Notamacropus eugenii: one gene and its partners. The protein of the gene in region 1 purifies or fractionates together with the protein of each later gene. This does not show direct contact. Links are inferred from orthologs where the notes say so. Each region holds a gene or a part of one and is shown in the gene's direction. Other genes may lie near its edges.

Region 1 (10,644 bases):
TTATAGGCCAATTTCCCAGTATATCCCTTCAATTCCCATAGAGCCATCCAGTGTAACAATAAAAAAAGCGGAAGAGAAAAAGACAATACGAATCAAACCACATCAGCCAGGTATGAGATAAATAGTCTTCCATATTCACAGTCCCTTACCTCTGCAAAGAAGGGAAGAAGTACAGTAAATTCTTGTTTCTGTGGCCAAGCTTGGTCATAATTTCCCAATATTAAATTTGTTTTGTTGGCAAAAAAAAGGCTCCAATACTGAGGGAGGCCCTCACGTATCACTTATTACTCCTCTGGAAGAAAATTTTAGGGGTCAGTGGCTGGAATTGAGGTCAATGTAGGTTTCCTGGGTTCAGGGAGCTGGTGGTACAGTGGACAGAGGATCTGAGTTTAAATTTGATCTTAAAGATACTATTTGATCCTAGGCAAGTTAACATAACTGCCTCTATTTCTTTCTACCACTCAGAGTAGATGTAAGGATCAAATGAGAAAATATTTGTAAAAAGTGTTTAGCACAGAGCCTAGTGCATAGTAGGCATTATGTAAATGCCTATTGCCATCTTTTATACTCCCCTGAAGTAGAAGGAGGGAATAGTAAATTTAAGAGGGTAGATTCAGAAGTAGCATTTGGGGGGCAAGTAAGTGTTGGAGAGGACTCTTAAGATTTCTAGGACCAATGAAAGAGTATCTCAGAATGTTTCAAAGGATCCAAGATGAAATGTAGATTGCAACACAGCCATATCTTCCTATCTTGTGATGCTTGTCCCATGGAAGATCTGCTTCAGATGTGACAGACCTTACAACTCTCAAAATATTTAGAGATACGGGTACAGTATATGAGCTGTCCCTTATTCTCACTACAACACTAGCTCACCTTCCTGGTCTTATATGTTCTGATAACATTTTTACACCACTTTTTTTTTTGCACTGAAGTCATCTCTGGTAACATGTTGCAGCCTAATTGGACCCAGTATGTATCTTTCCATTGCCTCTCTGGTCTCCCAGTTCTTTGGAGATTGTAGTATCCAGACTACTGTTTAGGGTCATTGAGAATGGATGAGGACTCAGAAGACCTAGGGTTCAGAAAGTGAATGCAGATAAAGGCTCAGAAATGAAGCCAAACCAGTGAAGATGGGTTCTTCACCCCCCCCCCCCCCCCCCGACCCCCACCTCCCTGCCAGCATACTGGAACCTGAAGGTCTGGACCTGTGATTTAATCTATGTGGGAACTCTCCTCATCAATGCAAACCAGCATATACAGCCTTAGCTACCCAGAGCACTGAAACACGAAGGGAAGAGAAGCATGGTGTCTACAGTATTCCAGTACCATGCTAAGTGTTTTATAAATCTCATTTGATCCTCACAACAATCCTGGGAGGTAGGTGCTGTTATTACCCCCATCTTACAAATGGGAAAACTGAGGCAAATAAGTGAAGTGACTTACTCAAGCTCACACAGTAAGCATTTGAGGTCAGATTTGAACTTGGGTCTTCCTGACTCCAAGCCCAGCTCTCTATCTATCCACTGCACCATTTAGCTGCCTGATTAAATGACTTGACCACTCTCACATAGCTGGTTTTTGTCAGAGACACAATTTGAACCCAGTCAATCAACAATGCATACTATATACCAGGTAGCAGTAATTCCAACTAAACATCTGGCTTCCAGGTTTTTCAAAGCATTGTCTTCCACGGAGATTAATGTGAGACAGGAAGGACCAGTTGTCGTTCAGTCCTATCCAACTCTTTGTGATCCCATTTGGGGTTTTCTTGACAAACCACTGGAGTGGCTTGTCATTTTCTTCTCCAGCTGATTTGACAGATGAGGAAACTGAGGCAGACAGGGTTAAGTGACTTGCCCAAGGTTACTAAGTAAGTATGCTAAATAAGTATCTGAGACCAGATCTGAACTCATGAAGATACATCTTGCTTCAGCTGTGCCAAACAGGCACATGAGAACAATTTGTTCCAACGGCCATGAAAGCAGCTGAAGCAAACGTTATGGAGTACTCAGAGTCTGGTCAAACATCAATAACACCAAAATCATCCACTGCATGCCAGGGCCATCGCCAGTGATCCTGACTTCTGTTCTGCTAATGGATAAGAGTTTACCTACTTTGTACAACTCTATCTCACTCAAATCCAATTCACCAGCAAGTCAAGATATCGCCTGTAACATCATCGATGGGTCCTCTTCAAAAACAAAGAATGAACAACAGCTAAGTACCAGGTACTGTGCTAGTAGATGGGGATCCAAAGACAAAAATGAGAGACTCCTTAAGGAACATTATAGGTGGGAATCAACATGGCACATGTATATGGAAGCAAACAAAATCTATACCAAACATTCGTACATATTCAAAACACACAGTAATGAAGGGGAGAGAAGAGCATTCCCAGTAGGATCTTAAAATGCCTCCCATGGGAAGTGTCACTTGAGCCAGGGATTCTAAGACAGGAAGGTGAGAAAGGAGAGTTCGTTTTAGGTAGATGGTATAGCCTGTGCAAAGGGTCATGTAGGGGAAGTGAAATACCATACATATGGAATGCCAAGAAGGTCAGTTTGGATTGTAGTTTGTGAAGGGGAGAGTAACGAAAGCCTGGAAAGTAAGCTGGATACAGATTTGCAAATGGTTTCGTACCCAAGAGAGGCTTTTGTATTCTATTCCAAAGATGATAGGGATGCCTTCCTGACTCCAAAGTGGCCCTCTATCCACCACACTGTGCTGCCTTTCAGAAATATGTTGCCAAATTTGCTACAACTAAGTTAAAATTCTTGAGTATTGACTTTTAACCAACACAGAAAACAGTTTTGTTAAGGGGTAAGAAATCTCTCTGCTGGAGTTTTAAGCAGCTAATTGGTATTGGTCATCCTGTTTCAGTGCATACAATTTCTCTATTCCAGGATTTTTGCATTAAGATCGATGCAAATCATTGATGTAATTCATCATGAAAAGAAAATGTGTATATAATGAGAAAGTGCTTTACACTGTAATCTGATATTTTTTGGGAAAAGTTATTACATTTAGAACTATTCTGAAGCTGCCAATTAAAAAAAAATTTTGCAGATTTCCAAATAAATGAAGAAAAAAATATGTTGCAAACAACAGAGGCCATATCTTGGAAAATCTTCTGTCCTGGAAACCTGGAATGCTATTTCAAGAAAGCTCCATTGCCTTCTACCCCCATTCCCTTCTGGTTCTGGAATCATGAACCATAATCGAATTAACTCTGGCATTATTCCTGGATGGAATGTGTCAAGATACTCTCCTTACCATCCCTATAATCTTTTCAGACCAAAGTACTCCTTCCTTGGCCACCACCCCCCAAACCCCATATGAGCTGTCTGTCCCATTAAAATGATAGCTCATATCTTCAGGCTTAGCACAATGCTTGGCACATATTCCTTAATCAATGCTTTTTATTCATTTTTTTCCCCCTTGAATAATGTGTCAGAAAATTGGCTGCAAACCAAACAAACCCATGTGTTTGAAGGACAGAGCTTCAGGGAAGAGAATGTCAGAAATAAGTTTCAGGAGAATAAAGATGAAGAAGGACTCTAAAAAAAAAAAAGTCTATAAAGTGAGGATTCCTGAGGTGAGAGAGAAAGGATTCTGTATATAAGGACTCAAAAATAAGGCCCAAAATAAGTGACATGGATGCGAGTGTGTGTCAAATATAAGTTCCAGGAAGAAAGGCTGGATAAGGATTCAGAAATTGTGTCACAGAACTGAGAAGGCCTTAGAACCCAGGACAGAATAGAGCCCAGGGAATAAGGATGAAGAAGGATAAAGAAAAAAAAGTTAACAGAAATAAAAAGGAGGTGGATTTTGGGTTCAAAAATAGGGCCCAGGATTCATACTGTTTGAGTCAGGATTACCACTACTGGGCACATATACTCCAAGAAGGTCAAAGATGGGAAAAAGTCCAATATTGACTAAATTATTCAAAGGATATTCAAAAAAACCCCAAAAAACCAACCCATACAAACAAAAACAAAATAGGAAACACTGGGTGCCAACGGACTGGATGAGGAGATTGAACAAATTGTGGTATAGGCAGACCATGGAATATTATTGCACCAAAAGGAATGATGACGGGAATTTGGAGAAACTTGAGAAGACTCAGGAACTGATGCAAAGAAAGCAGACACATAGTATACATAGTTACACATAGTAACTCCAATGTTAAAGAATGTAACACTAAAAGATAGCAGAATTCAGCGGAAAGATGATGAAACATTTTTTGCGTCAAAGGAAAACTCTATTTCAAGAAAACTCCACGGCCTTCTAGCCCCATTCCCTTCTGGTTCTGGAACCGTGAACCACAGTCAAATGAGCTCTGGCACTGGCCCTAGATGGAACGTGTCAAGATACTCTCATGGCCTCACTTAGCGTCCCTGTCATCTTCCCTGAACGAAGCGCTCCTTCCTGGCCACCCCTCCCCCACATGTACTGTCTTCTCCTTTAGAATGAAAGGAGGCTGGACTCTTTCAGATCTGGTTAAAGTGCTACTTTGTTTCATTTAACCGTCTGGTAGGAGAGGGAGGTCTTCATGTGTCAGGGTGGGTAAAGGTCATGGGGACACGGCAGAAAAAAAATTTAATTCAAATGTTTATTATTTTAAGATTAAACATTCTTAAATTTTAAATAATGGTTGAAAATTTAAAAACAAATTTAAAAAATAATTTAAAATTTAAAAAATTCCTAAAAAATTTAAAAATACTGATTTAGATGGAAAAAAAAAACAAGAAACGAGAGCGCGGATAAGGGCTCAGAAATAGGGACATGGAAGTAAAGTTGGATAAAGGCTCAGGCAGAGGATAGGGGAAGGAGTTCAGCCCAAGTTCCCCGCAGGGCGCTCCTGCCACCTGGGCCACCTGGGAAAAGCGCCCCGCGCCTGGCCCCCGTGACGTCATCGCCTCCCCCGCCGCGAGCCCCCCGGCGCTGGAGTCGCCGCACCAGCCCGGTAGAAGTCGGGAGAGGCTAGGCACCGCCCTATCCGGAGGAGGGCGCTGCGCACGCGCACAGCTCTCCGCCTCCGCTTCGGCGCTACCCACCCTTCTCCCCTCCGAGGCCTTCTGCCTGGCTTCCGTAGAAGCCGGACAGTGAGCGCAGGTGCAGTAGAGGACCCGGAAGTGAGGGTGCCCGCTGACTGAGGCGGCCGGGTCCGGCGGGACCGTCTAGTCGGAGCCGGCAAAGGGGGCGCGCGGGGCGGCGGGAGGTGAGAGGAGCGTGCGCACGGGGTGGGGGTCCCCTGTCTCTCTCCATCCCCTTCCACTTCGAACCCTCCCCCGCCGCCCCAAGCCGCGCGGCCCCAGGAGTCCACTCCCTGTACCAACGGTCACCCCGCCCTGGCCCTCCCCCTCACGCCGTCTCCTCCCCCCACGTACGCCCCCCCGTCCGACCCTCCCCCACAAAGCCTCCCCTTCCCCCTTCAGGCACCTCCTGCCCAAACTCTTTCCCCAGCCCCTCTCGGACCCTCCTCCCTCGCCCGATCACCCTCTCACACGCTTGCTAGCCTGCCCCGGGCGCCCTCCGTGACCCCCGCGGCGCTTTACTCACCCTGGCCATGCCCTCGCCCCGCTGTCCGCCCCCGGACCCGACTCGCCCCGCTTGTTGCCGGCCCCCGGCGCTCCTCGTCTCCGCAGCCTCCCACGTGCTGCGGCCCCCCAGCCATCCTCGAGACCCCCCCACCCTGGTGACCCCCTGTTGTTTGTAGCCCTCCCCCTCACACGTACCCATGACCACCCCCCCCCCGCGGGCATGTGATTCTGCCCTGGCTGGCCTGAAGGGTGGAATGAATGGTGTAGGAGAGGCATGAGAGGACAGCCCTTTGGAAGGAGTTGTCCGAGCGGGCATGGTGAGGGCTGTTCAGTGATGGTCACCTTCCATGTCTGTGCCCCGCACTTCCACACGTCCTGGATTCTGCCACTTTTTGTCCAGGTCTGCGTGCTCTAAAATGTTCCCTTGTGATTATCTTCCTGTATCATCCCCCAGATACTAATTTTGGTTTAGGTACTTACCATTGTGACACCAGGCTGATCTGGCCTGTAACCTCTTCTTTCTACTGAAACTGTTGTTCCTTCCTTTTTTTGATCACTTTTCACTTTCAGTTCTCCCTGAGTCTCTTCTCCAGATTGTACCAACCATCTTCCTTGTCTCTTTTATTTCCAAAATGACCTCTAAAGTCCTTTTAGGCCCTAAATCTATGACCCATCATTTTAGTACTGCTCATCAGTATCATCGTTCTCATCGTGCCTCACTTCACTTCCTTGTCTTCTCAAATCAAATGCCTGCTTTGCCTTCCATACTGTTCTAGTCCTAGTCTCTTCATGTCTGCCATCTGATGTTCTCCTGCAACTTCCATCTATCCCCACAACAGCCCCAGTTCCTTTTGTCTATGTCCCCACCCTGATCACTGGTCCTGGGCTCCTCTTTCCTCTGTCCTAATATGATCAGTGAATTCTGTCCACAACAGAATTCTTCCACATCCAACCTTCTTCCACATCCCATAGATGCTTATTTGACAACGGGTACTTTTTCTCATTCTGCTCCTTTTCCTCCTCTGTTCTAGGTGCCCAGGATGGTGGGAGAACGAAGAAGCAGAGATTTGCTGGTGCCCCTGGGCCCACGACTGCAGGCATACCCTGAAGAACTGCTCCGGCAGCGCCAGGGTCACGATGGGCATCCAGAGTACTTGATCCGTTGGACTGTCCTTCAGCGTGGGAAGGAGGGTGGCATAGGCAGTGGCAGTTCTTCAGAAGGCAAGGCAGAGCATATCCTCATGTGGCTCTCAGCCCCGGAGGTCTATGCCAGCTGTCCCATGCTGCTTGGTGAACGAGCCCCAGCCAAGGGACCGCAGCATGAACCAGTGGGGAGCGCGGGCACCTTTCCCCGGGATGCCGGGGGGCTGGATGAAGCCTCTCTGGGAGAGATGGCCACAGATGTCCGAGGACTGGTGCGTCGAGCTGCCCGGCAGCTGGATGGTGGGGGGGGCTCCAGTCCTGCCGCCTCTGTGCTACACACCATCCACGTGCTCAGCGCCTATGCCAGCATCGGACCCCTTGCTGGTGTCTTCAGGGAGACAGGAGCCTTGGACCTGCTCATGCACATGCTGGGCAACCCTGAGCCACAGATTCGCAGGAGCGCTGGAAAGATGCTACAGGCCTTGGCAGCCCATGATGCTGGTGAGGGCCAGAGGGAAAGAAAAGGGAAGCAGGAAAGGAGGTGGGACAACTTGCAAAAAGAGGATGTCAGGACCTTTTGGTTTCATGAGAGTGAAAGTGATGTCAGCCTATGCCCAGTTGCAGTGAACTTAGAGCTACAGGTTCACACCATTGATGAAAAAGAGATGTGAACAGAAAGAGAGAGTTTCATAGAGTTTCACTCTCTTTCATAGAGTTTAGAACTTGCTGGCCAGATGTCAGTACAGATGGTTATCATATAAGGCATAGTCACTTCTCAGAGCACTTTGGTCCCCCTGTCAGCCCCTTTGATGGGAAAGGACCTGGTTCTGCTGGAGGGTGGAAGAGAGTGAGTGTAAGAGAGGCAGATGATAAGAGTTGAGGAGTGGGCAGAAGGTGATAAGTGGAGTGGGTTCCCTGGGACAGGATGCAGAGCAGGGCTTGTATTTCAGGGAGCAGGGCCCATGTGCTCCTGTCACTGAGCCAGCAGGATGGCATCGAACAGCACATGGACTTTGATAGCCGCTCCACTCTGTTGGAGCTGTTTGCAGAGACCACATCTTCTGAAGAGCACTGCATGGCCTTTGAAGGGATCCACCTGCCCCAGGTAACCTAAGGGAGTCGGGAAAAGGGCTGTGGGCCGAGTTTTTATCTCCCTGTCTGTTGGCAGTAGGGTTAGGAGAAGCAAAGTGGGGAGATGGTTAAACTGAGGCCAGGGTGTTTATCCTGCAGATCCCTGGAAAGCTGCTCTTCTCCTTAGTGAAACGTTACTTGTGTGTCACATCCCTCCTGGACCAGCTAAGTAGCAGCGTGGAGCCAGGGTCTGGGGAGTGGGGGAACCGGTGCTCCCCTAACAAGGCCTCCAGTGTGGAGAAGAGCCGTGGACAGAGGGAATTGGAGTTCAGCATGGCCATGGGCAACCTGATTTCAGAATTGGTTCGGGGTATGGGATGGGACCGGGGCCCAGGGAGGCAGCCTGCATCCCCCCCTCGGCCTGCCCGATCTATCTTTCAGCCCCGATCATCTGTGCCAAGCACCATCCTCCCAACCCTGCTTACCCCTGCCTCCCCAAGGAGGCCAAGCCGGGCCTTCAGACCACGGTCTGAGTTCTCGAGCCTGAGTGGCTATGCTGACTACGTTCAGGAGACATTGCAGCCAGGGATGCGTGTTCGAATGCTGGAGGATTATGAGGAGATCAGTGCTGGGGACCAAGGAGAGTTCCGCCAGAGCAACAATGGAATGCCCCCTGTACAGGTATGTGTGAGTGAGTTGGAGGATAGGTAGAATAGCATCCCTGAGAAAGACAGAAAGTAGGGGAAGGTCAGAGAGTGACTGTATCCCTACCTCACCCTCTGGGGAGGGAGAATGGCCATTTGGAGAAGATTTTATCACTAAGAGAGCAGATAGACGATTCCTGATAAGTGAAAAGGAGACAGAGATGTCTAAGGATACCATTGCCCACATTCTTTTCTCATTTGGCAGAGGAGAGGAATACATGTTTGTGTCCTTTTTGTCTCTTTCCCCCAGCCTCTACTCTAGAGAGAAATTGTCTAAGCCCTGGCTGTATGACTGTCATGGAGTCTCCATGTGGAAGGGGCCTAAAATGCAGGGGCTAGAGTCAAGAAGTTGTTATTTTTGTTGTTTGGGTGTTTCAATCCAGTCTTTCTCTTCATGACCCCATGTGGGGTTTTCTTGGCAAAGATAAGTGGAGTGGTTTGCCATTTCCTTCTCCAGCTCATTTGGCAGATGAGGAAACTGAGGCAAGGGGGGGTGAAGTGACTTGACCAGGGTCACTCAACTAGTAAGTGCTGGAGGCTGGATTTGAATTCATGAAGATAAGTCTTCCTGATTCTAAGCTCAGGGCCCTATCTACTGTGCTGCCTGTCTGCCCAGCTCCCTCTTTTCTGAAGTCAGGAAGACCTGAGTTCAAATCCAGCTTTAGACACTCACTAGCTGTGTGACCCTGGGCAAGTCACTTAACCTCTTTTCTCAGTTTCCTCATCTATAAGATAGGGATAAATAATAGCCTGTACCTCTCAGAGCTTTTGAGAGGACTTACATGAAGTAATAATTGTGAAGCATTTAGTATAGTGCTTGGCACATAGGAAGTTTTATATAAATGTTAGTTATTATCATGATCATTAATTATTATGTGACCCAGGTCTAGGCCTCCAGCTGAGGTTGTTCCCCGGACTCAGGTGACTGAACTTTCTCCCTCCCCTCTTCATGCCCCAGGTGCTGTGGCAGTCAACAGGCCGCACATACTGGGTACACTGGCACATGGTGGAGATTTTGGGTCCTGTAACTGAGGACAAAGTTGCTGCTGAGCCAGAGAAAGGAACAGGGGGCAGTGGGTCCCAAGCCCCAGGTATAGGTGAGCTTGGGGAGGAAATCACATAGGTTCCTTGAGAAGTGGTACATGGGGGCTTGTCTGGGTAGAGCTACCATGACCAAAGAGAGATGCTGCCTCTGACCCTCAGCTGCCCCGAATGGGTCCAGTATCACATTCTCTGGGACAGTTGGTCTATCCCTTCATGTCTTATGCCCACAGTGCCTCCTTCCTTAGATTGGAAGCCCCTTGGGGGGTTGTATGCTGTGCCGTACCTTAAACCTGAGGCTCAGAGCAGCACAGAGTCTGGATGCCTGAGCCAGGCTGAGTGGTGGGAGCTGCTTTTCTTCATAAAGAAGCTGGATGGGCCTGAGCAACAGGAATTTCTCCGGCTCCTCCAGGAGAACCCAGATGGGGAGGTATGTTGGGCCCAGGAGTGGAACTCTGAGAGGTTGGTCTGCTGATGGGGGGAAGTGAGTCAGGATGAGAGGGGCTAGTAAGTGGAAATCAGGTCAGGAGAGGGGCTTCAAAAACTATATGTGGGTCTGAGGAAACAAAGGCCCAGAATAGAGGAAGATGAGAAGGTATTCCAAGAAAGATATTTCTTCTCAATCCCCATGGCTCCTTTTCCCTATTGTTCAGTATAATGAGTTTTCCTCATTGTCCACAGACCCTGGAGGAAGAGGCCCTGGGTGAACTCTCAGTGCCAATGGAGTTGGCACAGAAGCTGGTATTGGCACTCAGTGGGCAATGCCAGGGCAGTACCCACAGTGACCTGCTGAGCTCTCGTGTCTACTGCAAGTATGGGCCACAGCCTAACAAAGGAAATTCAGCTAGCCCAGCCCCTGTAGTCCCTCAGGACACCTGCACCCCCAAGGCATCATTGCCTGAGAAAATCAAGGTGGAAGCTGAGCCCCCCAAGGCACAGAATGATTCCCAGCTATTCAACCAGCTTCTGGTGGCGGAAGGGCTGATTCTGCCCCTTGAGCTGAAAGAGTCAGCCAGTGGTGAGTTCAGCCATAGCAAAGTCAAGTAGAGATTTGCATTAGGCATTTGATGGTCCAGGAAGAGGAGAGTGGGAAGGAAGGCCACTTTAGCCTGTAAGCTAGGCCTTAAGTAAGGTCATGGCCT
Region 2 (10,564 bases), about 400 Mb from region 1:
GTTTGAACAGGTACTCAAGCTGGGTGTGATTTTCAGAGACTAAGACTTTATGTACAGAGAGACAACAGCAACCTTGCAGCTTCTCTCAAACACAAACTTATTTCCTTTAAGAAACTCCCACCAGTCACAACACACAATTCAAACTTAACAGTAATACGTAATAATAGTAATTAATGTTACATAATAGAGGGAAAGCAGCCAAACAAAAGGAAGCCAGTTAATTGCCATACCTTCTAGATGCATCTTCACTTTTTGAAGCACTTGGTTCTTTACTACCTGGGGGAAAACACCACATAAGGGTCAGGTAGAAACCAAAAGCATGTCTTCCTTCCTTCTTTTCCATACCTCTCTTTCATGGCACATAATTTCATATTCAAGATACAGAACCAGTTAAAAAAAATATACCAAAAAGCAAACACTGGGTTACATCATTCCTAGGTAAAAGGGTGTGATGACAATCAAATTAAATCTTTTGCTGTTTTTGTTTTACTGAAAGTGCCTCAGATTGAATAATGCGATTAAAGAAAATTCCCACCCACCCACCAGGGGGCCTGCCCACAGAGGGAAGCTAGATTAGGGGAGTTATTTTGTAGGAGGGTCCCAAGTTTTGTTTTGGTTTTGTTTTGGTTTTGTTTTTTTTTGCTGAGGCACTGGGTCAGAGGGTTATGCCCTCTGCCTCTGAAAAATGTATAAATACACCCAGGGTGAGGTTTTACTTTGGGGATTACTGACTGGAAGTGTTTCTTTGGCCAGAGACACACTGGGAAGCCCCCTACAGGAGCCCCCCACCCCACCCCAAACCCAGAAGTTGGTGTATGTATGTAATGGTCAGACAGTTTTAGAAGCCCTGTCTGCTGACTTTTGATTTCTCTGTTTTCTCTGAAGTTCAGGGTACTGACTTTCCCCCTGAACTGAATGATACATATGTTTGATTAAAGTAATTGTTAACCCCTCCAAAGTTGCCGTTCCTTTTATGAATGCAGATCTAAGAATCTGTGATAGCAGGCCCCCCAGTGTATATTGGGGTGCTTACTGTGACAAGGGACAGAAAGATTTTAGCATAAAGGGAGGGCAAAAACGAGGTTTTAAAAACAATAACCACTCCCCTGAAATATGGATAATCTAAGGATAGCCTCTGGTGGTCAAGGGGTTCCCAGACACCAGTGGTGTCAGTCAAACACTGACTAAGAAAACCATACATTCACATTATGCTGTGTGGCGTTTTTATTGATTTTGTTCAACATTTCCCAATTACATTTTAATCCAGTTCAGCTCTCAAGATTGTGTCCTGAAGAGTTTTGCCACATAATGTCAAGGGATGTGACAAAAGGAGGGCTCCATTATTCTTCCAGTAGAACAGAAGAACAGGGAACAGAGGGGTCATTCTGATTTTGTCTTTGTCTTCCTCCCCAACAGTGACTGCTGCATACACAGTGGGTGGTTAATAAACATGGATGAATTTAAATTTAGGTGGATACCCCAAGGAGTATTTACAGGAGAACAAAGCCAAGAGGATGAGAGAGCTTAGTGTGTGAATAAGTTGGGATGTGCACTATTAGAAGCGAATAGATCACAGAGGCATAGTCTACACTTGGATTTAAAAAAACCCAACTTCACAAGTTGCAGTAAAGTGGCTAGAGAGCTATCCAAAAAAATTTAAAGGATTTAGGGACCTGAAGGCTCAATAGGATTCCTCATGTGCAAGGTCACTGTGCTAAGGATACAAAGGTGAAGAGAACCTGAAAGAGGGCACAAGGACCATAACTTCAAGATGGTGCCATGGGAGAATCCGCTGAAGAAGTAGGAACATTCAGTCTGGAGAAGAGAACTTGGAGGTCAATGAGATCTGCTTCACATGGAAGAGGGATAGCTTTGCCTGGCCATAGGGGAGGCAGGGTGAAAACACATTTGCAACTGAAAGCTGCAGAAAGGAATCTTCAGGCTGGATGTAAGGAAAAGTCTCCTCATACTGAGATGTCGGAAAAAGAATGGGCCTCTTTTCCTCCCACACTAGAGGGCTTCAAGCAAAGGAGAAAATGCTTCCTGGCCTTTCCGATCTCCTCCAACTCTGTAAATAGCTATCTTTATTTTTCTGTTACTCAACAGTAAGACCTCACTCCTGTTAGAGCTGTTGCCTTTCTCTCCAATGCTGTTTTCACTGCCTGAAGATGCCTTTCCTTCCACCTAAGACATAACTATCCTTTAAGGTCTAATTAAAGTCTCCTTCATGAAGACTTTCTTGGCCTGCAGTTAGGAGGGGCTGAGATCAAAACTGAACTCAAGAACATCAACCTGCCTGCCTTACTTTCCTCATCTGCAAAATGTTGATAATAATGACAGCACCCAATGCCCACCTACACACCCCCCTCAATGTTGTGAAGATCAACTGAGTTAATATTTGTAAAGCACTTTGAAAACCTTAAAGCACCATATAAATAACTCTTGATCTTTCTGGAGAAGGTGGAATAGCCAGTCTCTAAAGTCTTCATCTAGCTCTTCTGGCGGATCCAAGACAATCACTGAATGACCTCAGGTCACCATTGGATTCAAAGCCCTACTCATTTCCCCCTAGATTTGATCCCCTACCACAAGCTATCCATAATTCTCTTTTCACTAAAAACAACACCAGCACAAATTCCCTAAAAGGGCAGATCACAATCAGATGTTAAGTGATTGTGGTTAAAGTGATTTACTCTTAGGTATGAATGACTTCTAGCTCAGGCTCACCAAATTCACCTAGGCCAGGCAAAAGGGCAGTTGGTTAAGCCAATTTGCAACAATCTCAAAAAAATGAATAAAGGTCCTTGCCCATCTTTTTCTTCCTATTCACAAGAATGGGTCAGCAGTGTGCCCCCCCATCCTCCCATCCTATGCTCCTTTTCAAATCTCACCTCAGACACTTGATGCTCACTAGCTGTGTGACCTTGGGCAAGTCACTTAACCCCAACCGCCTCATCCTGGGTCATCTCCAGTCATCCTGATGAATATCTGGTCACTAGACCCAGATGGCTCTGGTGAAGTGAGGGTGGTGACTTGCACAGCCCTCCCTCACTCAAAACAAAGTCAAGTGCAAGTCATGTCATTATTTCTCTGATGGCATGATCTTCTTCTGCAACGAACGATGAACACACACACAGGTCATTCTGACTCAAGATGAAAAGCTCTAATCCTCTGGGCCACTGGCTGCCCCTACCCAGAGCCAAGGCATCCTCCCCCAAAACCTCCTCATTTGGCAATGCCCTGTTAGGAAGAAGTGGAAGTAGAGGTCCTAGGAGGGAAAAAGGGTGAGAGACTGTAAGGCCCCATCACTCTTACACTCCCACACAGGATGATCCACAGATCCTGTTCTCACCCAAATCTCCTAGCCTCAAAGGCACCTCTCTACAGGTCCCTAGATGGTGGATAGAACTCACTACTGTGACTGCGATTTTGGGTGAGTCTGTGAGCTGACTTGGGCCTCTTTTGTCATCTACAAATGGAAGGAGTTAGACTCTGGGTCTCTGAGGCTCTTACAGAACTAGATCTATGATTCTACAATCTCACAGACTAGGGAAGGCAGAAAGATACCAGAGTATTCCTCAGATCGCTTCTCAAAGGGAACAGGGGTAAACTCTTAACACAGACAATCTTCTAAAGCAGATGGCATGAGAATGGGCTAGATTCCCTTTGGGAAATGGCAAGAGTCCTCTAAAGTGGGAATGTCACTCTTAGATAGTGAATGTTCTAAGGCAAGGTGGAGAACCTGTGGCCTCGAGGCCACATGAAAACAATGTTTTGTGAAGTTTGAATTCAGTCAGAGTGGCACCTGAGGACCTACAGGGCCACATGTGGCCTCAAGGCTACAGGTTCCCCTTAGAATCTAAGGGGAACCATAGTAATCTACTGTTTGATAAATCCAAAGACACAGCTTCTGGGATAAGAGCTCACTATTTCACAAACACGGCTGGGAAAACTGGAAAACAGAATGGCAGAAACTGGGCATAGACCAACATCTTATACCGTATACCAAAATAAAGTCCAAATGGGTATATGATTTAGATATAAAGTCTGATAATATAAGCAAATTAGGAGAGCACGTTTAGTTTACCTGTCAGACTTATGGAGAACAGTGGAATTTATGACCCAACAAGAGACAGAGAACATTATAAAGTGCAAAATGGATAATTGTGATTACATTAAATTGAAAAGTTCTTGCACAAAGAAAGCCAATGTAGCCAAGGTCAGGAGTGACACAAAAAATTAGAAAATTAGGAAAACTAGGAAAAAATTTTTACAACCAGTATCTCTGAAAAAGGCCTCATTGTTAAAATATATAGAGAAATGAGTCAAATTTATAACAATACAAGTCATTCCCCAATTGATAAATGGTCAAAGGATATGAACAGGTAGTTTTCCAAGGAAGAAATTAAAGCTAAAGTCAAATGAAAAAATGCTCTAAATCACTATTGATTAGAGAAATGCAAATCAAAACAACTCTGAGGTACCACATCACACCCATCAGATTGGCTAACATGACAAAACAGGAAAATTATAAATGCTGGGGAAGATGTGGGAAAATTGCAACACTAATTCATTGCTGGTAAAGTTGTGAACTCATCCAACCATTCCGGAAAGCAATTTGGAAGTACACTCAAAGGGTTATAAAAATGTGCATACCCTTTGACCCAGCAATACCACTTCTAGAGCTGTATACCAAAGACATCATAAAAATGAGAAAAGGACTTGCATGCACAAAAATATTTATAGCAGCTCAGCTCTTTTTGTGGTGGCCAAGAACTGGCAATGGAGGGGATACCCATCACCTGGGGAATGGATGAACAAGCTGTGGTACATGAATGTAATGGAACGCTATTGTGCTATAAGAGATGGTGAGCAGGAGGACTTCAGAAAAACCTGTGAAGACTGAACTGATGCTGAGTGAGGAGAGGAGAGCCAGGAGAACGTTACACACAGTAACAGCCACCTTGTTCAATGACCCACTTTGGTTGACTTAGCTCTTCTCAGTAATGCCAGGACCTAAAACAACTCCAAAAGCCTCATGATGGAAAATGCCGTCCACATCCAGAGAAAGAACTGTGGAGTCTGAAAGCAGATGGAAGCAGACGATTTTCTCTATTTTTGTTTTGTTTTGTTTTGTTTCTCATGGTTCCTTCCATTCGTTCTAATTCTTCTATACAATATGAGTGATGTGACAATACGCTTAACAAGAATGTATATGGAGACCCTCTATCGGATTGCAAGCTGTCTTGGGGAGGGGGGAAGGGAAGGAGAGAAAATTTAAAACTTATAGAAGTGAATGCTGAAGACTAAACACAAATAATTTAATTTATGTTTAAAAAAAGAATCTAAGGAGACCAGAGTCTTCTAAAGAGGCAGAGGGGAGAAATGGTCTGGATCACCCTGTCTCTAAGGGGGGGTCCCCATCCTCTAAGGGGGTTCCCTTCTCTCTAAGGGGGGTCCCCATCCTCTAAGGGGGTCCCCATCCGCTAAGGGGATTCCCTTCTCTCTAACGGGGGTCCCCATCCTCTAAGGGGGTTCTCATCTCTCTAAGGGGGTTCCCTTCTCTCTAAGGGGGTCCCCATCCTCTAAGGGGGTTCTCATCTCTCTAAGGGGGTTCCCTTCTCTCTAAGGGGGGTCCCCATCCTCTAAGGGGGGTCCCCATCCTCTAAGGGGGTCCCCATCCTCTAAGGGGATTCCCTTCTCTCTAACGGGGGTCCCCATCCTCTAAGGGGGTTCCCTTCTCTCTAAGGGGGTCCCCATCCTCTAAGGGGGTTCTCATCTCTCTAAGGGGGTTCCCTTCTCTCTAAGGGGGGGGTCCCCATCCGCTAAGGGGATTCCCTTCTCTCTAACGGGGGTCCCCATCCTCTAAGGGGGTTCCCTTCTCTCTAAGGGGGTCCCCATCCTCTAAGGGGGTTCTCATCTCTCTAAGGGGGTTCCCTTCTCTCTAAGGGGGGGTCCCCATCCTCTAAGGGGGTTCTCATCTCTCTAAGGGGGTTCCCTTCTTTCTAAGGGGGGATCCCCATCCTGAAGAGGGGTAGCCGGGCCGCCTGATTAGCCCCACCTCCCACAAGGGGCAGGCCCCTCTACCTCGGCGCCTCGCCCCAGTCCCTCGTGGGGCGGCGCGGGTGGCGTGACGTGACGGGCCCCTGGGCCCCAGCTCTTACCCGCGCCTTTGCGAGCGCCTCGGGAGCTCCTGCTCCGGGGGCCGCCACGGGCCCGTGGCTTCGGCTGGTCCTCCATGTCGGCCGCAGCAGCTCCTCCTCCTTCTCCCAGAGCCGCCCGGGACGCGTGTCAGGGGCGGGGCCTCCGTTCGTCCGCCATGATCGCCCCGCCCCCGGCTCCTCCTCCTTCCCCGGAGCCACCTGGGATGGGCTCGGGGGGCGGGGCCTTAGCTCCTCCTCCATGACGACATCACAGGCTCCTCCTACTTCTTCCTTCCAGAGCCTGGGAGGTGAGGCAGGGGGCGGGGTCAGGGCGGGACTTCAGCTCCTTAACCATGGACTGTCTCACCGAGGGCTCCACCTCCTCCCTGCGCCGTGGGAGGTGAGATGTGGGGCAGGATGGGGGCGGGGTCAGAGGCAGGGCCTCAATCCTCCATGACGACAGCGCCACCGACTCCTCCTTCTCCTCCTCCTCCTATCCTCAGCCTGAGACCTGCTGCGCAGATGGGGGCGGGATCCGGGGCGGGGCCTGGGTCCTTCCGCCATTGGTCCTCGCGCCGGGCAGGGCGGGGCGGGAGGCGGGGAGGGGCGGGGCCTCGGCCAGGCTGAGCGGAGGAGGAGGCCCAGGCCTGCCTGGAGAGGGTCGGGGCAGGTAGGCGGCTGCGGCGGCGGTCTGGTTGCTGGGGAGAGCTCGGGGCAGGGCTTTAGCCCCAGGCCCGCGGCCTGAGCTGGGGAGTCACCGGACTCGATCCAGGCCGCGGCCCAGCCCAGGGTGCCTAGGGGGTGGAGGGGGGCCCTACACGCGGCTTGAATCTCGGCTAAGCCACCTGGCCCCCAGCGGAGAGAGCGGGTAGGCCGGGAGACGGGGCTCGTCCGGTGGGACAGCCTCCGAGCCCCTCCCCCCAGCCCCCGAGGACGAGCACTGCTCAGCGCACTCTTCGGGCCCAGCACACAGTAGGCACTTAGTTCACAGGCGTCAGTTTCAGGAGTTGGTCAATGTCACCGATGCCCAGCAGCCAAGCACGTGCAGGGGGAGCTTCGTGAACTTGCTTCTGGTCTGTCTTCTCCCAGTGATCCTCGATTGATTGATTGATTGACTGATTGACTTCCCACAAGTAGGAGAGGCTTCTTTTAAAAGCCATCTATCCATTCGATTTCCCTCCGTCCCAGCAAGGGGTGAAATTACTTAAAGCTCTCCGGTCTCAGTTTCCCTCTCTGTAAACTGAGGGAATTGGCCGTCAGTATAGGTGATGCTGAGGTGGAGTGATGGGGTGATCAGGAGAGTAGGTGATGATAGATTCCCTGAAGGGCTAGTTGCATTTTTTTTTGTCTAAGTATCCTCAGAGCTTAGCCCCGAGGCCCCGTAATCCCTTAAGGAAGGCTTGTTGGATTGAGTGCTGTGGCTTCAGAATCCCAGAGCAGCGCTATCCCAGTGCTGATGGATGAGAAGGTTGACACAGGGGATTTCTAGGGCCTCTTCTGCACCTAGACTATGACCCTGTAAGTGGGGATGCTCTGATGCCCGTGACATTAGAATAGTGGAATCTCCAATAGAATTGTAGAAGTGTAGAATCCAAGAATGATCAAAGAGTTCCCCCCCAGTCCCTATCAGTAGAGCAGGGCTTCTTAAATATTTTCTACTAGGGATGCCCAGTGCTTCTTAAACTGTGTGTCAGGACCCCATATGGGTTCGCTAACAGAGAACCAGAGTTCTGAATTAGACCTGGGATTTCTCAGTATTTGGAGTGATTTTTGCATTACAAAATGCTTACCCTTTCCTCTGGAAAGTAAAGACATCTCAGAAAAAAGTAGGCATATGTAAATGTGGAACTGGAAAACTTAGAAAATACATGAAAAGTTCATTTTTTAAAATACCAACTATTGTTTTATCATCTTTAATATTTCCATAAAAAGACTGCTAAAGTTCAGCGATGATTTTTACTAAACTCTTAAAATTATTAGATTCTTCATAATAATACTTAATTCAGAAGTATATTTATATACCTACTCCTTAATATAATAATAAAATATCTTCATCAGTTAATTGCAGTGTGGTATATATAGCACTGAGCAGTCAAACTCAAGGCCAGAGGCTCTTGCAAAACTCAAGAGTGAGGCTGAAAAAGAGTAAAATATAATTGGGAAATGTTTAACAAAATAAAGAAAAATACAATATAATATAAATAATGTTAATTTGTGGTTTTCTAATGTGGCTGGCTGGGAGGGATTCATTTCTATTTGAGTTTGACACCACTGACATTGAGTATAGAGTCATGCTCAATTTGGAGTCAAGTCTCCTATCTCAACTACGTGATAATGGTCAAATCACTTACCCTTCAACATCCTCAGTTTCCTGACCTATAAAGTGGAAATAATAATAAACCCACTATCTATCTCACAAGTTGTTGTAACAATCAAATAATTAACAAATATATTTATAGTGTATATACATATATATATAAAGTCCTTTGTAAATCTTAAAGCAGGTTATATAAATTGAGCAGTTATTTTCTTTTTAGTGTTTCTCTACAGTAAAACTGAAAGAAAAGTCAAAAACTCAGGAATGGCTGTGGAAGAACTTCAGTCCATAGTAAAGAGATGTGTAAGTAATTTTCTTTTTTTAATTTTTAATTTATTTTATTGCAGTCATAGCAACTTATGAAGATGGTCTAGAATAAGGAACAGAGGGGCTGCCATCTGTGTCAGAGAAGGGACTCCACATCCATAAAACCAGAGAGTCCTGACATAGCTCAAAAAAATTTGAGAAATGGATCTACTTACTTTCTTTTTTAAAAAATTAATTTATTTGTTTTCAGTTTTCAATAATCACTTCCATGAGTCTTAAATTTTCTCTCCCTCTGCTCTCCCTCCCCAAGATGGCATACAATCTTTGGCATGCAATCTTATACGGGTTCTACATGTACATTCTTATTAAATCATTTTCACATTAGTCATGTTACATAGATAAATTAAAATGAATGGGAGAAAAAACAAAACAAAACAAAACATAACACAAGAGAAAATATTCTGCTTCAGTCTGTCTTCCAATTCCATAATTCTTTGTCTGGATGTGGATGGCATTTTCCATGAGTCCTTTGGAAATGTTTTAGGTCCTTACATTGCTGTGAAGGGCTTAGTCTGTCAGAAACAATCATCGCACACTGTGGCTGTTACTGTGTTACTGTGTCCTGGTTCTGTTCATTTCACTCAGCATCAGTTCATATAAGTCTTTCCAGGCCACTCTGAAGTCTTCCTGTTCATCATTTCTTATGGCACAATAGTATTCCATCACATTCATATACTACAACTTGTTCAGAAGTAATTTTCTTTGAACAAAAATAAACCTCTCCCTTCCACATTGTTATTTGTTTGTACCAGAGAATGCTTTGTATGCAAGGCTGGACGTTTGGGTTTTCTCTTGGAGCAGTGTTGCTTTTTTGCCCCCACTATGAATAAATACTCCCAGGGGTGGGAGAAGGATAGTGGAGATACCAGACACACATTGCTTCTCTAGCTTCCTAAGTTTTTCTGAATTTTAGTACATTGGATTCTAAGATAGTTTATTCGGATACTGTTTAGGAAAGTCATTAATTCTGCCCATGTGTTTGTACTATGGGTGTAGATCAAGACTAAACAATCAAGTCATAATTTAATTTATTATATAATCACGTAAATGAATGCTAACTTGTCGGGTTTTGTTGTTGTTTCTAAAGCAAATCCTAGAAGAGGAGAACTTCAAAGAGGAAGATTTTGGTCTCTTTCAGTTAGCAGGCCAAAAGTGTTTAGAAGAAGGGCACGTTGCTCAGGTATTAGACATTTTAGAAAATGAAAAGAACAAGGTAAGTGTTGTCACTTACTATCATGTGTAACTTTTTATACTTTATTAGATAGAGTGCAGCCGACGGATACCCTGGATAACCCTGCCCAGATTACTAAATGAGCATTGCATGAGCGTTCTATTCTTAGTGTACATCTAAATAGCTAATACCATTGGGATACTTAGCATAATAGCTTAAGCCTAACCTTCCAAGCGGTTGCACAAATTCACATCTTGGTAAACAGTGTTAAAAATGGGATTCAGCTGAATTTTTTTTTTCCGTTTGCCAAGTAGAACTCTTTTAGTAATGATTTTAAAACACTTTGTACTGTGTACTTCATTAAAAAAAATTAAACAATTAAGAGCGAGGGTTCATGCCTATGGTTTTTTTTAACAAAATTGGTGGCATTTAGGTAGAGACTTGGATTAATTTAAAGCTTGGGCTGTATTCGTACAGTTTTCACTATACAAAATATAGCCCAACTCCAATGGCCTGACTTCAGGGACCCAGACAAACAATAAATTAATATTATACTCTTTTATTCATTTTAAAGAAAGTCACTTGTGGGATAAAAACAAAATACTG
Region 3 (10,273 bases), on another chromosome or scaffold:
TTTGGGGGGGGAGGGGGAAGAACAGTGGCTCTTGAGAATATAGGTTATTCCTATTTCAGCTGACTTTGTTTCTAATTTGCCCAAACAATTAAGTTCTGTCAAATCATTTGCAGAAGAAAATATTGTAGTAAAGTAAAACCTTCTCCTAAAATTAAATTTTGCAATATTCAAATTCTGTCTTGATGGAAACCAGACTCCTTCTTTACAAGGTGGTTCTCAAGCACCAGGTAGGTTTATAAACTGTAGATTGCAACCCCCCCTCCCCACCACTTTTCTGTACGTTAAATCTTTCTTAACGTTTTCACACAGTGAAATAAATCATCCTTCCTTACACTAAAACAATGAATGTATCAGTCTCAGGGACAGAAGAGTGTTCTTTAAAAAGGAGTCTTTAAGTGGTGTTTGCATGTAACTTTGTCCTGGGGGCTGCAAGCCTTACAAAAAATCTTCTAGGACATTTCAATGACTAGAAAAACATTCAAACCATAATTAGCAAATATTTCAGTTACAAATTGATTTTCTAATTCATTTCCAATTCCATAAATTTCTCCAAACCAAGAAAAAGATTTCCTTTTTTTTCTGGTCTGTCTTTATGTCTTCAATCACAACCTGGCCCAAATCAAGAAGCCTCAGTTCAGACTGTCTTTTGGAACACTTGGTAGTTTCTCTTGCTCATTTTAATACCTTATTTCTCACCGAAAATCCAATCAAATGGTCACTAGGAGTGTCTGGTTTTTGGCAAGGGGAGTTTACTATCAGAATTGCAGTAATTAAAGACATTACATAGAGTTCATTCAGATATGAAGCTTCATCAATGAGCTTGAACTTCTGCTAGCTTTTCAATTTAAAATGTCCTTCCCAGGGTCAAAGATATTTGGTCCCAGAAGTTATCCTGGCCAAATGTTTTCACAAAGGTTTGAAACTGGGTCTTAAACATCTTGGGCTCCTTGGAAGAATTTTTTTTCCAATTAGCTAGGACACAGACCAAATCAGTGTCTTTAGAAGAAATGGGCTGACCAGATCCCATATTTTGAAATATTGGGTTTTTAATCAGGAATAACTGGACCAAAAATCTGGAGGATCCAAGAGCTAAATTATTTTGGAACCAAATTTTTGCCACATCATAGTTCACTGAACCCTTCAAAATAAAATTTTTTATGTCACACCAAAGAAAAGCTTTGTTGTTGGTAGCTGCAACACTATGAAACAGATAATTAAGCAGTAAGAATGGGATCCCCAGGTTATTTCTGACCTATCTGCCATATGACATTGAGGTCTATGCCAGATGTGTACTCTTAAATTCCAAGATAAGCAGCAAAATCACACCAAAAAAGGGATCTCTGCAGTGTTTTGAGCAGACCAGGGCCACTGAACTAGACCCAGTGGTCAAACCAGAAATCAAGCTGCCAAGAATTCCTATCCAGGACCAGGAGCACAGCCAAAGGAGTGAAACCCGAACCATGCCAACCCTAGCAAGCTCAAGAACTTGAGCCTCAGAACCAGAGGTTAAAACCTAAGTTTTCTTCTGCATAAGCGCAGGTGCAGAGCTCAGCAAAGTAAGTCAGAACCCTGGTTAGGGCTCTGACCAAGCTTATGGAGTTTACCAGTGTGCCAGAAAGACCAAGAACGTGTCCTCCCAACTCACGCATTAACCAAGAGGAGGAGAAATACTTTTCCCGAGAAAAACGCAGGGAAATTCTTTCCCAAGGTTAGGCTGCTGGGATTTACTCTCCCAGGTTCCATTTCTAAGCCAAAAGCTGCGGGCCGTTCCAGGAAGGAAGCCTGGCTGAGCCATCCCTAAATGGTCACATTCCATGGGGCGTCCCCCAAAACAAGACTAACACAGCATAAGTGGACGTGGGGTGGGTGGGGGGGGTGCCTCCCTTCCCCTCCCCCACCCCAACCTGCCCAAATGTAGGCACAGCTGAGCAGGAGCTCCCCCAACATGTTGCCTTAGGGGAGGAGGGTCCCCAACAAGGACTGGCGCCAGGGCTTCCTGGGAACAGGGTGAGGAGCAAAGGGCCATGGTAGTTGGTCGAAGACTGTGACTGTGCCCTTTGGCTGGGGTCGGGGTGGGGGGTGTCCTCAGGCTCCACAGGGCATGCATGTGCTGGAGCCCACCTGCAGCCCCCACCCCCACCCCCACCCCCAGGCTTCAGGAGAGGGACAGGTGTGTGTGGACAGGTGTAGGCCCTGATGGGTGGGCTATGAGAAGATGGGGGTTATAGGGGAGAGAGGACCAGTTCGGATAGTTTGGGCTAGAGTGCTAAAGGCCTAAATTAGGGTGGGGCCATGGGGGTGGAGAGAAGGGGCCACCTCTAAGACATGTGGATGGAGAAATGGCCCCATGGAGCTTGACTGTGAGGTTGCCAACAGGGGTAACTTGGGAGTCTGGGGGGGCCTTAGACACTAAGAGGACAATCTGTGCTGCGGAACTAGAGGAGAGAGACCAGGGCAAGCAATCATCACAGAGAAAAAGAAGTCCTAGGAAGCGCTTTGGGGGACTCCAGGGCCATCCAGTACGCCAAGGGTGGGGACCCAGCCACCCCATGTGTCCCTCTAGCTCCTCAGGTGCAGCCACAGAACAAATCCCCTTCCTAAAAGATTTGTTCTGTAAATTTTGGTCTCAATCAAAAGGCCGCACCTGAGGACCTAGAAGGATACATGTGGCTTTCCCAAGCCCTGCATTAGCTCATACTGTCTTTTAATGCTTTCCTTTGATACTCACTTGTTTTTAGTGGGGTCTGACTCTCCATGATGCCATTTGGGGTTTTCTTGGCAGAAATACAAGAGTAGTTTGCCATTTCCTTCTCCCATGCATTGTACAAATGAGTAACTGAGGCAAACAGGGTGAAGTTGATGGGGAGCTTGGGTCCCAATTTAAAATCACATTTCTCTCTAGCCTCAAAACCATCCCAGGCAGTTTGTCCCCAGCCCAGGGACACAACCTTTATTTCCCTTCCTGCTATGGTAGCCAGATGCATGTATAGAACTTATTAGTTTGAACCAACTGTGTCCTGGGTCATAAAAACATTTACCACTTACTGACCAATCATAGGTATCCTAGACTTAGACATATGTATACTCCCTTTCATGTATCTTGTCTAACAAGATGTTGATGAGAGAAACCTGGTGTTCTGTAGTCAGTCCTGACCTTTAGTTGACTTAGTGACTTTTCAGGTCTAAAACAACACCTCCATGTAGCTGCTCTCCCCCACCTCCCACCTTGGGCTATTTGCTGATGAACTCTGGGTAAAGTAGCTGTGCAGTAAGTAGATACTAGAAGTGCATGTTCCTTTAAGAACTAACCACGCCATAATCCCGCCCTGAGTTACCTAGTTAGCATGTTTGGCACATATTTTACTATTGAATATCCAATATAAACATTACCTGTACCCCTCTAAGGTTGCAGATTCCCTAAGAACTCTTGCCCTCTGAACAGTGTAATAAATCTTTACTTCAACCTCAATAATGCTTGAGTCCACGAATTCATCCCAGGCAACCTGCCCCTGGTACTCTGATCTTTTCGGGGGTCTCATACCCTACCTTCCAGCCCTCATCAAAGTGACTTGCCCAGGGTCACATAGCTAGGAAGTGTGTGAAGCCAAATTTGAACTCAAGTCTTTCTAACTCCAGAGCTGGAGCTCAATCCATTGTACCATGTAGCTGCCCCTAATACTTTCTTATTAGCATCCAAATTAGCAACTCTTCTTTCTTTAAAAAACACACAATACCTTTTTGTTTTTTATCTTGTACTACCCTTCCTTCAACCTGGAACAATTTAATAGGTATCCCCAAGGATAAATGTTACCTTGTGCCGTCAGTCTTAGACATTCAGGTGGGGCCCAGGTTAAATAAATGAGATCTTTACCCAAAGTGCTTGTCAAATTTTCCATCGGTCAGTCTATATGTATTTATTATACACCTACCATATGCTAGGCACTGTACTTAGCACTGGGGATACAAAGAAAGGCAAAAGACAGTCCTTGCCCTCAAGGAGTTCCCTATCTAGTGGGGGAGACAACATGCCAACAACTCTGTATAAACCAAGTGTAGGCAGGATAAATAAGAAATCTCAGAGGCAAGGCACTGGAATGAAAGGGGTACAGAAGGCTTCCCGGAGCAGGGGAAAGTCAGTAGGAGATGAGGAGGAAGTGCCTTCTAGACGTGGGAGACAGCCAGAGAAAGTGCCTGGAGCTGAGGGATGGAGGGGCCTCTTCATGGAATGTCCAGGAGGCCAGAGTCATTAGATGAAAGAGGAAGACTGGGTGCCAGACACTAAATGTATTGAGGGAGGGTGAATATAAAAGTTTTAAATAGGAAAGAGAACACAGAAAAATATTTTTAAAAATTGATTATGACTAAGTGAGATACCTAGGGTTCAACATTAGGAAAACCATCGTCATAATGAATTACTTTGCTGTTGAGTCATGTCCAACTCTTTGTGACCCCATTTGGGTTTTTCTTGGCAAAGATATTGGAGTGCTTTACTATTTCCTTCTCCAGTGTGCCCCCATTTTACAGATGAGGAACCGAGGCAAATAGGGCTAAGTGACTTGCTCAGGGTCACACAGCTAGTAAGAGTCCAAGGCCAGATCTAAATAAAAAGAAGATGAATCTTTCTGACTCCAGGCCCAGGGCTTTGTCCCTTGCAGTGCCACCCAGCTGCCCCTACGAAACACAAAAAGTATGTAACACAATGCAGAAAAAGTCATTGAGGCAGCTCATTTGTTTGCATATTCCAGGGCTTCGGAGTGGCATGATTTGTCATGTAAAAAGTACAGATGAAATCAAGAACTAGACTTATTTGCAGGCAATCAGGAAGCATTTCTTAGATACCCACTATGTGCCAAGCCGTATGCTAGGTACTTGAAATGCTGACTAAAATGTCACAGCCTTTCTTAAGGAGGGAGATACCATATATGATTATGTACAGAGTAAACACAAGGTGCTTTGGTGAAGGAAGGCACTTGTAATAACAATAGCTAATTTGAAGTTTGCAAAGTGCTTTACATCGATTTAATCCTTACAGCAACCCTAGGAGTTAGGTACTATATTATCCCCATTTTACAGGTGAGGAAACTGAAGCTATGAGACCCTGGACTTATACAGTATCACACAGCTACTAGGTGTCTGAGGTTGGATTTGAACTCAAGTCTTCCTGACTCCCAAATCCAGCACTCTGCATGTGCTCACCTAGTAGATGGGAGCCAAGTAGTTTAGATGTGCAGCTGAATCCTGACAGATGTTATTCAATGAGACAGCTGAGGAACGAATGTATGAGACAAGAAATGCAGTTCCTTGAGCAGGTCCCTGCCTCTCCCCAGGCCTCACTTTCCCCACTGTAAAATACAGGCTTGGACTAGCTGCGTGATCTCTAAGATACTTCCAGGTGCAACATTCAACAAACCTTTCGGCTTCATTCACTGGACATAAAGGCACCCAGCAGGATGCTGGGAAACGCCCACGTGGGGAGGTGAAGGCAGCAGGTGACTGGGAAAGGTGCAGGCCTCTGGGCAGACGTCAGGACAGCTCCAGAGGAGTTACAGCACCTAGAGCTGCAAGGGGACTCTGAGGCCAGGGGGCCAAGCTCCTCATTAACGGAGGAGGACACTCAGAGGCCCAGGGAGGGGAACAGACCCTCAAGGCACACCTCAAATGAGAGCATGCGCATAAAGTGCTTGGTAAACTTGAGAGAGCCATAACACTGGCAACTAATATTATAGGGAAGTTCCTTCCGCGTTCTGAGCCTCAGTTTTCACCAATGATAAAAGAAGATGTTGGGGTCACTGGGCTCCGAGGTTGCAGACCAGGGATCCGAGCTCTAGGAGAAAGAGGGTAAACCGAGGAGGGCAGCCGATCCGATCTGCCCCGCCCCGCCCCGCCTCCGCCCCGCCCCGCCTCCGCCCCGCCTCCACCCCGCCCCTATCCGCCCCGCCCCTCCCCTGCTCCGCCCCTCGCCCTCCCGCCAAAGGAGGCCCGCCTCAGAGCGCGCCTGCGCCTGCGCCTGCGCCCTCCCGGCAGCCAGCGGAGCTCCCCTCCCCGAAGGGTAGAGCCCGCCCCGCCCCGCCCCTGCTCCTCCCCGCCCCTGCTCCGCCCCTCGCCCTCCCGCCAAAGGAGGTCCGCCTCAGAGCGCGCCTGCGCCTGCGCCTGCGCCTGCGCCCTCCCGGCAGCCAGCGGAGCTCCCCTCCCCGAAGGGCAGAGCCCGCCCCGGCCCGCCCCGCTAGGCGCGCCGGCCGACATGCGGCTGGTGAGCTGGAACATTAATGGGATCCGGCGATCGCCTGAGGCCCTGAAGCGCCTGCTCGACTCCCTGGGGGCCGATGTGATCTGCCTGCAGGAGACCCGAGTCACTCGTGAGCATCGAGGCGTGCCCCCCTCCGCCCCGAGCCCCCCTCCCAACCCTGACCCCCGCTCCCACCCCCTCCCGTGGAAAGCCCAGCTCCGCCCCAGGAGGCCCGCCCCCCAGGACAGGACCCCTCCCTTCCATCCCTTCCCTGCCCCCAAAGGGCACCTTCTGCTCCAAAATCGCCTTCCCCCCAGGACCAGCTTGCCCTCTAGAGGACACCCTCCTCCACACACACTGCGCCCCCCCCCCCCCCCCCCCGCCACTTCCTCCCTCCCCATAGAGGATCCCCCTACTCCCCCCTCTTCTAGAAGCGCACTGACACCCCCTCTAGGCTGGCCCTCCCAGGACTCTCTCTCCCCCCAGAGAACTCCTTCCTTCTCTTCCCCAGCCCCCCGGTGCTGACCCTATTCCACAAGGTGCCCCCAACTCCTTCAGATGTTTTCAGGGCTGCCTCTGGGTTGGCTTTAGGGGCTTAGGTCCTCTGGCCCCCCTGCAGGGAGCCCTGCCCACAGGAGCCGATCTCCTCCAACCTGGACTTTCCTTCTCTGTCCCCCAGGGGACCTCCTGGAAGAGCCCTTGGCCATTGTGGAGGGCTACAGCTCCTACTTCAGCTTCAGCCGAGTTCGAAGTGGCTACTCAGGTGTGTGGGAGGGTGGGGGGAGATCTGGGGGACTGGGCAGGCCTGGATGTATATACTTGGACTTTGGGGAACCTAGGTTTTCTACCATAAATGGCTTTAAAAGTTTAATCATTGGAGGGAAACAAAATGTCAGTTGGGGTAATAATCAAAAATCTACGTTGAATTTTTTCTGATCTGAATGACATGACCCTTTTCAGGGATGTTTTTACCCTCTGAAAAATGAGGAACTTTGGACTGAATTTTTTTTTAAGTCCCTTTCCACTTTTGATATTCTGTGACCCAAATCCCTTCCCCGTTCTGGGGCTCACTTTCCCTGTCTGTAGAATTAGAAGATTGAATTAGATTGTCTTTAAGTCTGTGACACAAAGACCCTTTCCTGGGCCTATTTCCTCCCCTGAAATGAAGAGGGTACAACTAGATGATTTTTAAGGCCCCTTTCACCTCCAAATCCTATGGAGGTCCTTGGTTAGAATAGCAGTAGGACAGTATGGCTTATAATAATTCACTTTCCTCCTCAAAACATCTCAGTCGACATGCTTAGACAATAATTGCTAGCTCTTTACAAATATCCTCTCATTTAATCTTCACAACAACCCAGGGAAGTACAGTTAGGGAAACTACGGCACAGAATGGTTCACTGACTTGTTCAGGGTCAAACAGCTAGGAAATGTCTAAGTCTGGATTTGAACTCAGGTCTTCCTTAGTTGAAGTCCAGTCCTATATCTACTTTCCCACCTTGCTAACCTGGGTTTGCCTCCTAGCCCTGCTACCTGGTAGTTACATCATTTGAGAAAAGCTTCTTCCCTTCTCTGGATTTGAATTTCCCTTGTTACAAGATGAAGGGGTTAGATTATCAGGGGTGGGGAACCTGCAGCCTTGAGGCCACATGTGGCCCTCTAGGTCCTCAAGTGCAACCCTCCGTCAAAGTTTGTTTTTGGAGCTATCAATAGTTGCTGTATTAGAAATGAAAACATCTTATTATTATGAAAAGTTTTGACTTCAGGGACTGTCTCAGGTCCTCAGATAACACTTTGAGAATCTCTGGTATGAACTATATAATCCTGGTCAAGAGCTGTCCTTCCTCTGAGCTTCACCTTACCCCTCTATAAAATGGGGATAGTGAATCCTACCTGGCCCACAGGTGTGAGGAAGGAGCTCCATGTGCCTTAAAGCACAAGAGAATAAGACAAAGTCCAGTAATGGATGAGAACAGCTGGTGGTTCTTTCTGTACAGAAAAAAAAAAGGCCCAGCGGTGTGTGGAATGGAAGTGTGTGGAATGCCAAAGAGGGCAGGCTGAAGGCCGAGGACAGAGATTGGAATCCTCATAGCGAATCTAGGTTTACTGTTGTGAGGCCTTGGCCAAGTCCTTTTCCTTCTCTAGCCTAGGATTTCCCATTCCACAAAATTAAGGAGTTGACCTACCACAATGTAAATGGAAAGAACACAAAACAATGAAATCGGAGAAATTCTGACTGGATGTGCCTCCAGAAGAAGCCTCTCCTCCCTCCCTCCCCCACTGCCACAGGTGAGGCCTTGTGGGCACAGAAGGCCCAGAGGGCTTGGAACACGTGTTTGGCCTCCTGCCTCTTCCTCTTTAAATCCCTGGCTTCCCTCAAGACTCAGTTCAAATACTGCTTTCTGCAGGAAACCTTTCCTGATGTCCCGAAGGGCTAGGGAAAGGGACAAACATTTATTAAGCACCTACTGCATGCAGGCACTGGACCAAGGACTTTACGAATATTGTTTACTTTGGTTCTCACAAGTACCCTGAGGGGGAGATACTATTATTTTCCCCATTTTATAGATGAGTAAACTGAGGCAAACAGAGGTGAAGTGAGTTGCCCAGGGTCACAGAGCTAGTAAATATCCGGAGGCAGGATTTGAACTCAGATCTTCCTGACTCCAGTCCTAACACTATTTATCCACTCTGACACCTAGCTGACTCTAGAGTTTTCCTCTCTCAAGATACCTTCTCTCTACTCTGTATGTATCTTGTATGTTTCTCGCACTGGAATAAGGTTCTTGAGGGCTAGGGCTGGTTTTGCCTCTCTCCTCAGCACTCAGCACAGTACAGGATGCCTAGTACTTAATGTTGATTGATTGCCTGCCTCTCCTGCCCCCTTCCTGAGCTCTGCCCCCTCCAAAGACCCCAAATGATGAACTCGGAGCTAATGACTTCCAAGCTTGGAGATCCTGGGGTCCCTTAATCTCTTTTGTCATCCTTTCTGTGTCTGCCTGTTGTTCCCCCACCCCTCCAGGTGTGGCCACCTTCTGTAAAAATAGTGCCACTCCAAGGGCAGCAGAAGAAGGCCTGACCAGCCTACTGACCACTCACCAGGGTGCCGTGGGATCCTACGGGAACACAGACGAGTTCACTGAAGATGAGTTACGGGCTCTGGACAATGAAGGCCGGGCAGTCCTCACTCAGCACCAGATACGGTAAACACTGGCACTTTCCTGACCTGCAGCTGAGGCCTCTTTTCCTTATGCTTCCCTTAGTGGCATCAGGGTCAGTACTAAATACCTGCTACCTCTTGGATTAAATGGGCCATTGTGGGAGGAAGGGAATTGAAGCATTTGATAACTGGTCCTGATGAATAAAAAGCCATCTTCCAAGTTTCATTTCTTTGATGCATCTCAGCAGTGTGGGCTTTCCCTTCACCTGTGCAGATTGCAGCCCATCCTGGACTACTTTTATCCATGATCTCCTCCCATTTCTACACAGGAGGTCCACCCAATGTGCTAGAGACTTTCCACTACATAATATGTCAGAAACCCAGGGGAGCATGCCATCTTGTCAGTGGGTACTGCTCTTTCCTTGGCATACATCTCTCTGCTTATACCATTTCTCCTGTACAATTCTGGGCTGGGATTTTTAAAATATTATTTTCTTTACATTCAGATATAATTTTACAAAATTTTATTGATGTTTTTTGTTTTTCCTTTATAGTAATTTCTCCCTCCCCCAAAAATGTATTATTTATTTATTTTTAGCTTCATTTTTAAAAATTTTGAGTTCTAAATTCTCTCCCTCCCACCCTCCACCACCCATTAAGAAGGCAAGAAATGTGACATCAGTTACACGTGTAAGATCATGCAAAAACATTTCCATAAAATATTAACCATATTGAAAAAAAGTAAGAAAAATGAAGAAAGTGCTTATATTTCAGTCTTCAGTCTTCACTCAGACTCTATCAGTTCTCACTGTAGATGTGGAGAGCATTTTTCATCATGAGTCTTTTGGAATTGTCTTGGATCATTGAGAAGAACTAAGTTATTCATA

The links.
Region 2: the proteins of CUL9 (region 1) and GLMN purify together in Homo sapiens (affinity purification with mass spectrometry; 3 studies listed by BioGRID and IntAct, counting the BioPlex papers as one, with this or other methods). This does not show direct contact. The link is inferred for Notamacropus eugenii from reciprocal best matches to the Homo sapiens genes CUL9 and GLMN.
Region 3: the proteins of CUL9 (region 1) and APEX2 purify together in Homo sapiens (affinity purification with mass spectrometry; 3 studies listed by BioGRID and IntAct, counting the BioPlex papers as one, with this or other methods). This does not show direct contact. The link is inferred for Notamacropus eugenii from reciprocal best matches to the Homo sapiens genes CUL9 and APEX2.

Annotation. Positions count from the first base shown.
Region 1 is NC_092873.1:106,087,209-106,097,852, forward strand, and holds the start of CUL9 (cullin-9), read left to right. Parts: upstream 1-5,801; 5' UTR 5,802-5,817; coding exon 5,818-5,943; intron 5,944-6,574; coding exon 6,575-7,187; intron 7,188-7,636; coding exon 7,637-7,791; intron 7,792-7,916; coding exon 7,917-8,438; intron 8,439-9,419; coding exon 9,420-9,558; intron 9,559-9,735; coding exon 9,736-9,932; intron 9,933-10,183; coding exon 10,184-10,520; intron 10,521-10,644. UniProt on the Homo sapiens protein: Core component of a Cul9-RING ubiquitin-protein ligase complex composed of CUL9 and RBX1. The CUL9-RBX1 complex mediates ubiquitination and subsequent degradation of BIRC5 and is required to maintain microtubule dynamics and genome integrity.
Region 2 is NC_092873.1:503,848,223-503,858,786, reverse strand, and holds the start of GLMN (glomulin), read left to right. Parts: upstream 1-6,430; 5' UTR 6,431-6,451; intron 6,452-6,708; exon of another isoform or gene 6,709-6,813; intron 6,814-8,680; 5' UTR 8,681-8,724; coding exon 8,725-8,763; intron 8,764-9,874; coding exon 9,875-10,000; intron 10,001-10,564. Other genes in the region: putative RNA polymerase II subunit B1 CTD phosphatase RPAP2, read right to left, coding at 231-276, 6,165-6,240.
Region 3 is NC_092879.1:98,122,510-98,132,782, reverse strand, and holds the start of APEX2 (DNA-(apurinic or apyrimidinic site) endonuclease 2), read left to right. Parts: upstream 1-6,139; 5' UTR 6,140-6,241; coding exon 6,242-6,356; intron 6,357-6,905; coding exon 6,906-6,989; intron 6,990-8,371; exon of another isoform or gene 8,372-8,466; coding exon of another isoform or gene 8,467-8,515; intron 8,516-9,248; coding exon 9,249-9,429; intron 9,430-10,273. UniProt on the Homo sapiens protein: Functions as a weak apurinic/apyrimidinic (AP) endodeoxyribonuclease in the DNA base excision repair (BER) pathway of DNA lesions induced by oxidative and alkylating agents.